Arabidopsis thaliana: one gene and its partner. The protein of the gene in region 2 interacts with the protein of the main gene of each other region in a biochemical or structural test. Each region holds a gene or a part of one and is shown on either strand. Other genes may lie near its edges.

The links. Proteins that work in one complex are often made in the same cells at the same time.
Region 1: of the proteins of CDPK19 (region 2) and CAT3, one has a biochemical effect on the other in vitro, tested with the Arabidopsis thaliana proteins (one study listed by BioGRID).

What each region holds. Positions count from the first base shown.
Region 1 is NC_003070.9:7,141,437-7,147,077, forward strand, and holds CAT3 (catalase 3), read left to right. Parts: upstream 1-1,696; 5' UTR 1,697-1,705; coding exon of another isoform or gene 1,706-1,720; 5' UTR 1,721-2,477; coding exon 2,478-2,669; exon of another isoform or gene 2,670-2,770; coding exon 2,771-2,867; exon of another isoform or gene 2,868-3,022; coding exon 3,023-3,300; intron 3,301-3,392; coding exon 3,393-4,169; coding exon of another isoform or gene 4,170-4,254; coding exon 4,255-4,344; coding exon of another isoform or gene 4,345-4,371; exon of another isoform or gene 4,372-4,443; coding exon 4,444-4,605; intron 4,606-4,697; coding exon 4,698-4,757; 3' UTR 4,758-5,104; downstream 5,105-5,641. Other genes in the region: CAT1 (catalase 1), read left to right, coding at 5,376-5,390. UniProt on the Arabidopsis thaliana protein: Occurs in almost all aerobically respiring organisms and serves to protect cells from the toxic effects of hydrogen peroxide.
Region 2 is NC_003076.8:6,557,831-6,563,876, forward strand, and holds CDPK19 (calcium-dependent protein kinase 19), read right to left. Parts: upstream 4,228-6,046; 5' UTR 3,979-4,227; intron 3,971-3,978; exon of another isoform or gene 3,665-3,970; 5' UTR 3,642-3,664; coding exon 3,132-3,641; intron 2,942-3,131; coding exon 2,818-2,941; intron 2,727-2,817; coding exon 2,583-2,726; intron 2,313-2,582; coding exon 2,160-2,312; intron 2,089-2,159; coding exon 1,973-2,088; intron 1,882-1,972; coding exon 1,711-1,881; intron 1,634-1,710; coding exon 1,403-1,633; intron 995-1,402; coding exon 842-994; 3' UTR 501-841; downstream 1-500. Other genes in the region: AT5G19440 (NAD(P)-binding Rossmann-fold superfamily protein), read left to right, coding at 1-72, 149-293; NUDT20 (nudix hydrolase homolog 20), read left to right, coding at 5,282-5,557, 5,704-5,768, 5,898-6,046. UniProt on the Arabidopsis thaliana protein: May play a role in signal transduction pathways that involve calcium as a second messenger.

The DNA.
Region 1 (5,641 bases), on a different chromosome or scaffold from region 2:
TTGAAATTATCTATCATCAAAAATGGAGCCAATAACTTTGAAACAACACGTTTTACCAGTGATAGTAACACCACATTTGGTTATGTCATATGTGCTCCACGTGATGTGGTCCATGTGGATACAAAATAACACACACACAAAAAACTGCATTTGAGTTATTTTAGTCATTGCACTTAATATATATGCGGCATACTGGAGAGGATTAAAAGTCCTAATAACTCTAAATGTCTAAATTATAAACAAGTAAATTTATAACTACGAGAGTATCTCCCTACTCCACTTTTATCTCTTATAGCTTATTGGATTGTTGTTTTCGTAACAGAGCTACTACAATGTTTATGGAGGGGGGCAACTGCGCAATATGTCCTTTAAAGAAATATATAAAAGAATGCGAAATGAATTCTGTTAAACGGAGATAGATGAAGATTGTCTTCTAATGATTGCCACTTTCTGAGAATAGTATGTTACTGTTGATTGTTGTACCTAGCTCTAGTTGTAAATAATAATATCAAACTAAGTAACAAGAGCAACTTGTTGACACTAAAGGGACCCCAAGTTACCCTCAATCAAAAATTGTGGATCAGTTCATCATCGAAGTAACGTGTTAATTATCGTCATATGCTCCACAACATCGACTCCCCACCATACCCACTCAATAATGTCAATTCAGCTCTCTCTTTTTGTATTTTTATAAAGAATGTATTTAAATTTTCAACCCATAATTTATAGATTCATGATCATCTATTAATAATTCATTAAATACTTTTCTGCATATTGATTTATTTAAAAGCCGTACGCAAGCTCAAATCGGATAAGACTAAAATAATATCACCCAGTTAAGTTAACTAACTTATTTTATTTTGAATAGTAGTATTAATTACTTTTGTTCAACTACTCCAATACTGTTTATATCCTTTCGACGGTATTAGTTATTTTCATGTTTCACGCATTTTTGTAATTGCAAATACAGACACCTTTGTTGTAACACATGTTGATTAATTTTCCGAAACTATATACTTTTGAAGACAAAAATTTAAAACAAAGAAACCTCAGATCTACAGTTCCACCTCGTGTCTGACACGAGTTTCTATGCGATAAGATCGAACATGTATATCAGCAGACTTTACTATAGATGAACTCATATTAGTAATAAGATCCAAATACGGAAATAAACAACTTGGAAAGTGAATGGAAGTTTTAAGAGAAAAATCATTTCTAGAATTATTTTTTAGATCATTTCTTTTTTTGGAGCATCCATTAGAGTTTTGTTTTTAGACTTTATGATTTATTTTTCTTTTGTTATCAGCACAATAATTGATTTTCAAAAGATATTGTATCTTTTTTTTATCTCTTGAGAAGCACAGCACAACAACGAGCAATGCTGACTTGTCGGGGTCAGCGATTATTATTAGTCACCGAACGAATTTTTCTTGGGTTGGAGCCAAAACCTAGCAAAAAAATATCTAAGTGGGGGCACTACATTATTGTTTTAACACCAAGGAAAAGTAAACAACAATGGCCCATTTTTACTGTATCGAGAAATTGATCTCGAAAGGACAAATGTACCCTTCCACTTCGGGAATCCATTATTGTGCATAACACACGCTGTTTCACTATATATACTTTCACATAGGATCTCAACACTCTCACTAAACCAAAATCCTCAAAAGCCTATTTGGGGGATCATCAACCTTCTATCATCACCATGGATCCTTACAAGGTATCTTCGATCATATTCTTCTTACTTTTTCTTTGTTTTTGTGTGGTGTATGTGTATCTTAATTAGAATTAGGTTCAACTATATATGCTCGTTTTCTAAACTATTTTTTAATTGGATTGATGTTCTTAAATCTTAAGGGTCAAAATACTTTTTATGCTCAAAAACTTACTTAAATTCTGTGATCGCTTGAACCTAAGTTGATGATGTTGATTTCTGTTTTGGCTGGCTATCTTTAATTAAAACGTTTAACCACTGCGTGAGAAAGACACGCCACATGTGGTTTTTGTTGTTTTTTTCCTTAGATTAGAAGTTATTTTGTTGTTGTTTTTTTTTTTATTATTATTACACACATGTGTTCTAAAAATCGGACGTTCAAATGATATAATCGATTGTTTAGACGTCCGACCGTATATTATTTTAGTGATATCAGCCAAATCAGATTAAGTAATCATCAACAAAATGATTGATCAGATCTACTAAACACCTGAGTAATCAAATCTACACGTTTGATTAATCAAATTAAATAACCGATCAGTTAGATCTATACATATGATAAATCTTTTTTTACAACATTCGGTTAATCAAACCATTGTCGGTCGATCTATCAATACAAGTGTATTTTTTTTTCACATACAAAAAAATTATCTCACCGACGAAAAAAAAATAAAAAATTATTATGTAGATCCATCGAACAAAAGGCTTGAATATACGGAAGTCACTTAAAAGTGTAATAATCGAATAAATATTAGTGGATAAAATGAAATTTATCTACAACCCTACTCTCCGACATGTTACTGTTTGCGTCATCAAATCTAAAGCCTTTTTGGCAAATAATGGTCGGAAGACTACTCGTGTCGGGATGGACCACCCGGATCCGATCAGGAAACGGGTTTTGATATGTTTCGGGTTACGACAAAAAATTAGGGCTTTTTATCAAATCAATCAGTTGGTAGTAAAATTTTGTGGATTGTTCTTGTCGATTCCGTTTGATTGTTGACCAAATTTCTTCCTGGATTTTGTTGATAATCGATCGTATAATGGTGATTGCAGTATCGTCCTTCAAGCGCGTACAACGCCCCATTCTACACCACAAACGGTGGTGCTCCAGTCTCCAACAACATCTCTTCCCTCACCATCGGAGAAAGAGGTATCGTAACCCTGAATTTCAAGAGTCTATCAATAAGAATCGGAACTTGTTGGATTTATGAAAGAGATAAAACTGAGATATAGAGTCTAAGCTGAGATCTTGTTCGTGAAGCGTGATGTGATTATTTTTAACATGTGTTACTTCGTAATGGGCAGGTCCGGTTCTTCTTGAGGATTATCATTTGATCGAGAAGGTTGCTAATTTCACCAGAGAGAGGATCCCTGAGAGAGTGGTTCATGCTAGAGGAATCAGTGCTAAGGGTTTCTTTGAAGTCACCCATGACATTTCAAACCTCACTTGTGCTGATTTTCTCAGAGCCCCTGGTGTTCAAACTCCGGTTATTGTCCGTTTCTCCACCGTTGTCCACGAACGTGCCAGTCCTGAAACCATGAGGGATATTCGTGGTTTTGCTGTCAAGTTTTACACCAGAGAGGTATAAGAAAAGATTCAAAGTTTCCATTTTTAATCGTCTTTTAGCTTCTTTAGAATCAGGACTGATTTTTGTCTTGTTACTGTTATGATCAGGGAAACTTTGATCTTGTTGGGAACAACACTCCGGTGTTCTTCATCCGTGATGGGATTCAGTTCCCGGATGTTGTCCACGCGTTGAAACCTAACCCGAAAACAAACATCCAAGAGTACTGGAGGATTCTGGACTACATGTCCCACTTGCCTGAGAGTTTGCTCACATGGTGCTGGATGTTTGATGATGTTGGTATTCCACAAGATTACAGGCACATGGAGGGTTTCGGTGTCCACACCTACACTCTTATTGCCAAATCTGGAAAAGTTCTCTTTGTGAAGTTCCACTGGAAACCAACTTGTGGGATCAAGAATCTGACTGATGAAGAGGCCAAGGTTGTTGGAGGAGCCAATCACAGCCACGCCACTAAGGATCTCCACGATGCCATTGCATCTGGCAACTACCCCGAGTGGAAACTTTTCATCCAGACCATGGATCCTGCAGATGAGGATAAGTTTGACTTTGACCCACTTGATGTGACCAAGATCTGGCCTGAGGATATTTTGCCTCTGCAACCGGTTGGTCGCTTGGTTCTGAACAGGACCATTGACAATTTCTTCAATGAAACTGAGCAGCTTGCGTTCAACCCGGGTCTTGTGGTTCCTGGAATCTACTACTCAGACGACAAGCTGCTCCAGTGTAGGATCTTTGCTTATGGTGACACTCAGAGACATCGCCTTGGACCGAATTATTTGCAGCTTCCAGTCAATGCTCCCAAATGTGCTCACCACAACAATCACCATGAAGGTTTTATGAACTTCATGCACAGAGATGAGGAGGTACGTCTTAGTACACCACTTGAGCTACCATTGTTAGTCTTTTTACTTGGAATCAAAATTCTCATTTGGTTTGTACTTTTTACAGATCAATTACTACCCCTCAAAGTTTGATCCTGTCCGCTGCGCTGAGAAAGTTCCCACCCCTACAAACTCCTACACTGGAATTCGAACAAAGGTCCGATTCCTGCCATGCCTTCTCTAAATCTTCAAATCCTAAACTCAAGTTTATTAGAATATTGGTGCTAAGAAAACCTTTTAATTGCTAATGTTGCAGTGCGTCATCAAGAAAGAGAACAACTTCAAACAGGCTGGAGACAGGTACAGATCATGGGCACCAGACAGGCAAGACAGGTTTGTTAAGAGATGGGTGGAGATTCTATCGGAGCCACGTCTCACCCACGAGATCCGCGGCATCTGGATCTCTTACTGGTCTCAGGTCAGAACAAAAAAACACTCGGTCAAATTTCTACGTCCTTTTTACCAAGTTTCAGCAAACTAAAACATTATTTATCTCTCTGTATCTCTCAGGCTGATCGATCCTTGGGACAGAAACTTGCAAGCCGTCTGAACGTGAGGCCAAGCATCTAGAGGCCAATCTCCATATAAGCTCAGTCTATGTGAGGTACAATCAATCTCATCGATCTATCATCGCTTGGTCGTTAAATCCGTCAAAAAGATAATCACATGTGTTGTTGTTTCTTGTCTATATAATAATAATGCTTGTAATCCCAAAAACTCATGTTTCCTTCCTTTCTACTCTCACTGTCTTTGTAATCTCTTTTTACAATAAATCAATGTTTCTTGAAGCAGTAAACAATTTCTAAGATTTATGGTGGTCGTTATACATATTATTAATTCAGGAAAAAAAAGAGAAGATACCGTAATTGAACATGTATTATTTTAAGGAGAATCCTGAAATGGATCAACAATTGTCTAATTATGGTATAGTATCTGGCGAAATCAAAGACGATATCATCCACACGTAATTAGTTTGACTATTAATACGAGGATTATCATTTGGATAAGGATTAACAAAGACAAAACACATACGTGTTTTGGTGTTGAGCTAAAATAAGATATTTTGGCTCTCGCTATAAAAAAAAAATCGACAACAGTGCAGACACACGCCGATTTGCGAGATACACACAGTCTCACCTAAAAATCGCAAAAGAAGAAAAATTCGGATCAAAATTGTCTTCAAGCATCATGGATCCATACAGGGTACATCGATTGATTCTCTTTTTTTGTAATCTGTGATTTTACCTTACTTGATTTCGTATCGATTTGGTGTGATTTCGTGTTGAATCCAAAGTGTATGAATGATCTCTCTCTCTCGGTTAAAATGATGCAAAATTGGGGTGATTGTTCGACTTGTTGAGGTTTTTTTGTGTGAATCGATTTCTTTATTATATAGTGGAGATTGGGTTTCGATTTGCATGCGTTGAAGATTCCACTGGAAAATTCAACATGTT
Region 2 (6,046 bases):
GCGTGTCGTTCACCACTCCGAGATTGTTAACATTCTACGTGAGCTTTACCCAAATCTCCCACTACCTGAAAGGTAAAACATGAACTAAATATATTACACCGGTTGTTTTGTTCATGTCCTGTGTCAATAACTTTTGCCTCATACGCAGGTGTGTGGACGAGAATCCCTACGTGCCAACGTATCAAGTGTCCAAGGATAAAACGAGGAGCCTTGGCATAGACTACATACCCTTGAAGGTTAGCATCAAGGAGACCGTCGAGTCCTTGAAGGAAAAAGGTTTCGCACAGTTCTGAGAAAGCATTTGAGCCAATGGATTTAATCCAGATTAGATAAAGTATTTGGAAGACTATTTCAGAAATAATATTTGGAACATGTCAATGTTCTCAAGGAGATATTAGTATGTTCTTGTGTACTTTATTGTTGTTCCATCAAATGAGTTACTTTTCCTTTTATTTCTTGTTAGTAAGATATCAAATAAGAATTCGAGTCAAGTGAGCATCTTTACACTGATGAATCTACAAATGATCAAACAATGATTAATGAATATCTTCTGACCCATGGTGACATGGTCGGGAAAGAAGTAAACAAAACTAAAGGGACTTTTACACTATTGTTTGCCAACAAATAGTATTAAGGATCCAGACAACATGAAAATAAAGAGTCAGAAAATTTAAGAACATCTGCTTCATATCGTACATGGCTGGCTATTCAAGTAACTAAAACATTTGAAACCCTGATCTACAATTATTGAGGAAAAAAAAAGATAAACAATTTTCAAAGAATACTGTTTTTTCCTTTTTCTTTTTACTTCTTTAAGAGATACAGAAACAAAGAACCTTTCTTAATTTTCGCCTTCTAATTGCAATGAACCTTCTCTCATTAACTTGAGGCTCAAACTGTTGAATCTTTCCCGGGAATACTGCCTCGACGCTTTCCTCCAATCTGTTCCAGCTTTCATCATCGCCGCAAACTCTTCATAGCTTATTCGTCCGTCCTAATCACCAAGACGATAAAAAAAATCAAGAGAAGACTTGTAAACTGCTATGTATTTCCAAACCAATTTTGCCATCAAGTTGCCTGTTCAAGACTTGAGAACTAAGGATGCACAATTCTGAGATATACTGATAAGATCAAACACATAATCTCATCTATTCTCAATGAACCAGGTTACACATAATCTCAATCACGCATTAAAATGCTGATATGGCATGTGCACTTGGTGAACTCCTATCATATTCCCACATATAGCCTTCCGAGGAGAAAGATTCAGACAAACATACCCAAGTCTTATGCTACTACACTGAATCATTTGTGTCCCCATATTATCGTCACATAACATTATTGAGTGAAGACGCATTTGCAGTGAAAAGTGTCTATTTCTAATCTCATATTTTGTGGTTACCTTGTCTGTGTCAACATCTTGCATAATAGCTGCAACAACTTCTTCACTGTTAGTATCCACCTCATCATTTAAAGCCTCACGCAGCTCCTCAATCTCTATGTAATCGCTCTGATTCTGGTCAAAAAAGCTAAAAGCCTTATGCAAGTGTTCGTCGTTCGCCATTTTCTTAAGATGCACAGAGACAGCCACAAACTCCCCATAATTTAAAGTCCCATCCCCATCAACATCAGCCTGCACACCAGATAAAAAAAAAAGGCTTTCAAATATCTGTTGGAACACAAACTCCAAAGTTTTAAGTTTTTTCTTACAGCTTCCATCAGAATCTGTAGATCAGTATCAGGTATCTGCTGCTGTCCGAGTTTATGAAGTCCAAATTTAAGCTCCTCGAGGTTTATCTTTCCCGTCTTTTTACTGTCCATCATCTCAAATGCTTCCTTGATGCCAGCTACTTCCTCCACTGATAAGTGTTCGGCTATCACCTGAAAGGAAGTGAAAAAAGAAGTTTCGCATTATTTCTTCAAATCCAACAGAAATAAGGTCATGAAGCAGCTGCAATGCTAGACAGAATACCCGTAGCGCTCTTTTCTTGAGCTTGTTCATAACAGAAAACTGTTTGAGTCTTGCTTTCACCGTCTCGCCGAGTGAAACATTTGGAGCCTTCTTCGCATTTTGTATCCAAGAATGTTCTGCAGATAGAAGTGTCATGATATATATGTTCCATAAGTAACAGATTTTAGAAACACACTAGGAAACATACCGAGTACTTGTGCAGCAGAAAGCCGTTTTTTGGGGTCAGGTTCGAGCATCTTCCTCACAAGGTCTTTGGCAGTCTCAGAAACTCTCGGCCATGGATCCCTCTTAAAGTCGATAACTGACCTAATGATCGCCTGAGCCACCCCTTGCTCAGTCTCTTTACAAAAATAAACAACATCAAGAAAAGAAACTCAAAAAGTGGACGAAGATAAGCAATTAAAAAAATCGAAAGAGGTCACTAGTGAATCCATGAACATGTAATTTGATAACATCATCCTAAATCATTCACAGAGGAAACTAGTGGTTCTGCAGTAAATCTTTCTAATCATCTATGGAAACTAAAATCAACCAGCTGCATATCCGTACAAAACATCCACTGTTGAAGAACAAAAAATGGATTAAGACAATAAGATGGATCATAACAAACCGGCCCAAAATGGTGGGACACCACAGAGCAGGATATAAAGGATAACTCCAGCACTCCAGATATCAACCTCAGGTCCGTAATTTCGCCTAAGTACCTCTGGTGCCATGTAATAAGGACTTCCAACAATCTCGTTGAATCCCTCACCTGTTACAAATTCAAAATATATCAAGTGGCGTAGACAGAACAAAATTATCTGTTGACCTGAGATATATAATGGACATTATAAAATCTATACCAGGCTTGAAGAAGACTGATAATCCAAAATCTATGGCTTTAAGGGCTGATGTCTCTTTTTTATTTGCAAAGAGAAAGTTCTCAGGCTTTAGATCCCGATGCATCACTCCATGCTTATGGCATATCTGCAATACCAAAAGGTGTTCAAATCATAAAGGTAAAAGTTGGGATAACAACTTTAACTAGCATTACACTGTAAGTGAAAGCCACTGCATAAAGACAAACAAGGAACCTTGCAATAGAATTAGAGGCAAGAAAGACCAGCTAGAAAGTTGACAAAACGAGAGTGCAAATGAAAAACGAAAAACTACAAACCTGAACAACTTCAAGAATAGTCTTCATCACTGCAGCAGCAGCTCGCTCAGTATAATGACCTCTAGCAACAATCCGATCAAACAGCTCACCTCCTTCACACAACTCCATAACTATATGCACTGCATCATCATCCTCAAAGGCATCCTTCAGCGACACGATATTTGGGTGTCTAGGCATATGTTTCATTATCTCAACTTCCCTCCTAACATCCTCTATATCCACAGCTGTTCTAAGCTTCTTCTTTGATATAGACTTGCACGCATACTTCTCGCCCGTTTTGATATCAGTGCACAAGTAAGTAATACCAAACTCTCCGCGACCAACCTCACGCCCCAGATCATACATAAGAGATATATCATGTCCTGTTGGATCTTTCAAAACAGAGAGCTTGAACCCAGTTCCAGATCCATTCGTAGTGTATGCTTCACTATAAAACGGGTTACTTTTGATCTTTGGTTTCCCCTTCTTACTCCCAGTCTCCGAACCCGGGCTCGCACAACAATTTCCCATTTATAATTCGAATCTGAGAAGTCCTGAGATTTCATCAAACAACTAAATCACTCACAAACGCAAACATGTCATTTTTTCCAAATCAAGAAAGCTTAAAACTTTATCAATTCATCTCCAAATTTTTCCAATTTAAGGAATTAAAGACTCTCACTAATCCCTAAAACTTACAGCAAGACAAATTCGATTTGATAAAAGGGCAAAACAAACGATCGAGAACAAAAAATGCAACGAAATTAAGAACCCTAGAAATTGAAGAGCTGATAAGTAAACCCTAGCAAATGAAATCAGGTGAAACCCAAAAAGGATGAAGCTTTAATTAGAAAGGGGAAACACAAACCTGAGACCTTAACCGGAGAAAGAGATGATCAGATTGGGATGAATCGACGGAAGCAAAGAGGGGAAATAAGTGACAGAGAGAAAGGAGAAGAAGCAGAAGAGTCAAAAAGTCTCCTTCTCCCTCGCTTCTTCTTTCTTAGTGTGGTGAGAGCAAAGAGAGACTCTTTTTTTTTGGTTTTTGGGTTCTCTCTATTGTGGAGTCAGGTGATAACCCAATTTGTAAAAGACAGTCACACGGTCACAATCAGACTCACCACCACTCTCTCTCTCTTTTATTGTTCCTTCCTCACAAATACTAACTTTCTCAAAATAAAATATATTTTTTTTTGGTTTCTTATTGAACAAGAACATGTGTTATTAAAAGTTTAAAACACAATAATGTGTCATGGATTGGCTTTTGTGTTTTGTCGCATCTCTAAGGATTTTGATATAATAAAAAAAAAGATTAGTCTTTTCATAATCCACCATTCATACACATGTTATATAGGTTACGTTAAGATAGATATCTCTAGTACAAACCAATAATTAGTGAGGCATTTGATCTATATGGATTGATAATATGATTAAGATAGATAGATATGTCTAGTAGAAACCAATAACCTTGTGATTTACTGGTTTATATGTATTTCAAATTTTATCTTGTAGTAGTCTTACTATATATATAAGAAAGAAAGAAAAATAAAAAATTAAGAGAAATTTTGAAAAATGCCACTTTTACAGGTGATCACTTGATCTTGTTCTCATGTTTATGGACAATAACATTTAGACGGTATTTGAAATCAATCATAAGTAGCTTTGGCCGTGACAGTAAATCAATGCTTATAAAATATATTTGTTATCAATATTCAAAACTCCAAAGTAAACAGTACTAATAATTAGAACCAGTCAACATATGCATTCAAAAAAGAAAAGAACTAATCGGTCAACTCAACCATATGTTCCACGTTTATCAAATTCATAAATAAAAACTACTACTACTATTTAACTATAAATATTTTTCCAAACAACACAAAATAATAGCAATAGGACGTATACTAATAGAGTAATAGGTGGGAGCAATTGTTAGATTGTTACCAATCAAACGAGCCGTGACCAAAACTATAGCGCGGAAAGACAAAACTATTTAACGAAAACGATATTGCCATTTGCGTTTGTTAATAATCACTACTTACCAGTGCTTTTTACCGAACAGTACCGAGCCGTGACTAAAAATCAAGCATTTCAATATCGAGTATACTCGATTCCGATTTTGGTCATCCGTATATAATAACTCTTGATTTCCAAACTCGACACAGCCATCGAAAATGGCATCTGGGTTTTGCTCACTGGCTCTAACTGTCACCACCTCCTTATTCTCGTCCCACGCGATTACACGGCGCGTTCTACCCATTCTACGGTGGCGTTCCAGTTCTATGTCCCTTTCTCCGCTGCGTCATTCCCGCGCTTTATCAGCTGCAACAACTGTTCCGATAAGCTCATCCTTCACGTGGGACGACGTAATCGAGACCGGTCGGGCAGAGTACAACTCTTCCGATCTCACCGGATTTTTCGAGAAAATCAACCGCTGCAATCGCGGATCCGTAAGTCCTACTAAATCGAATGGTTTTAGGGTATCGGTTCCTAGGAGAGTGAGATTGACCAAGGAAAGCTGAAATTCAATAAAAATGTTAGCTTTTCCTCTTTTCTGTTTATAAAGTTCAAAACTTTTCTGCTATACGTTTTTCAGGAAAAGTTAGGTGAGTTCATTCCATTTGTTATAGAGGAACAAATCGTTGGTTATATTCATAAAAGGTAACTGTTCTTGCTTCTGTGATTCTAAACTTGAGGTTGTACAAATTAGACTTCTCTTTTATGCATTCATTCACAAACTAGTTTTAGCAGAATCTTGGATTTTGATGCTTGTTTGTCTACATTGAATAGATTTACGGAGTACTTGAGGGAGTTTCATGATATCTTTACATTTTCACAAAATGGTTCTTGTCCTGACCGTGTTGATGGCTATGTAACGCTTAATCTGATGCTTCAAAAGCCTGAAGATAGAACCAGAGCAGTTGCAGATGTGATCAAAA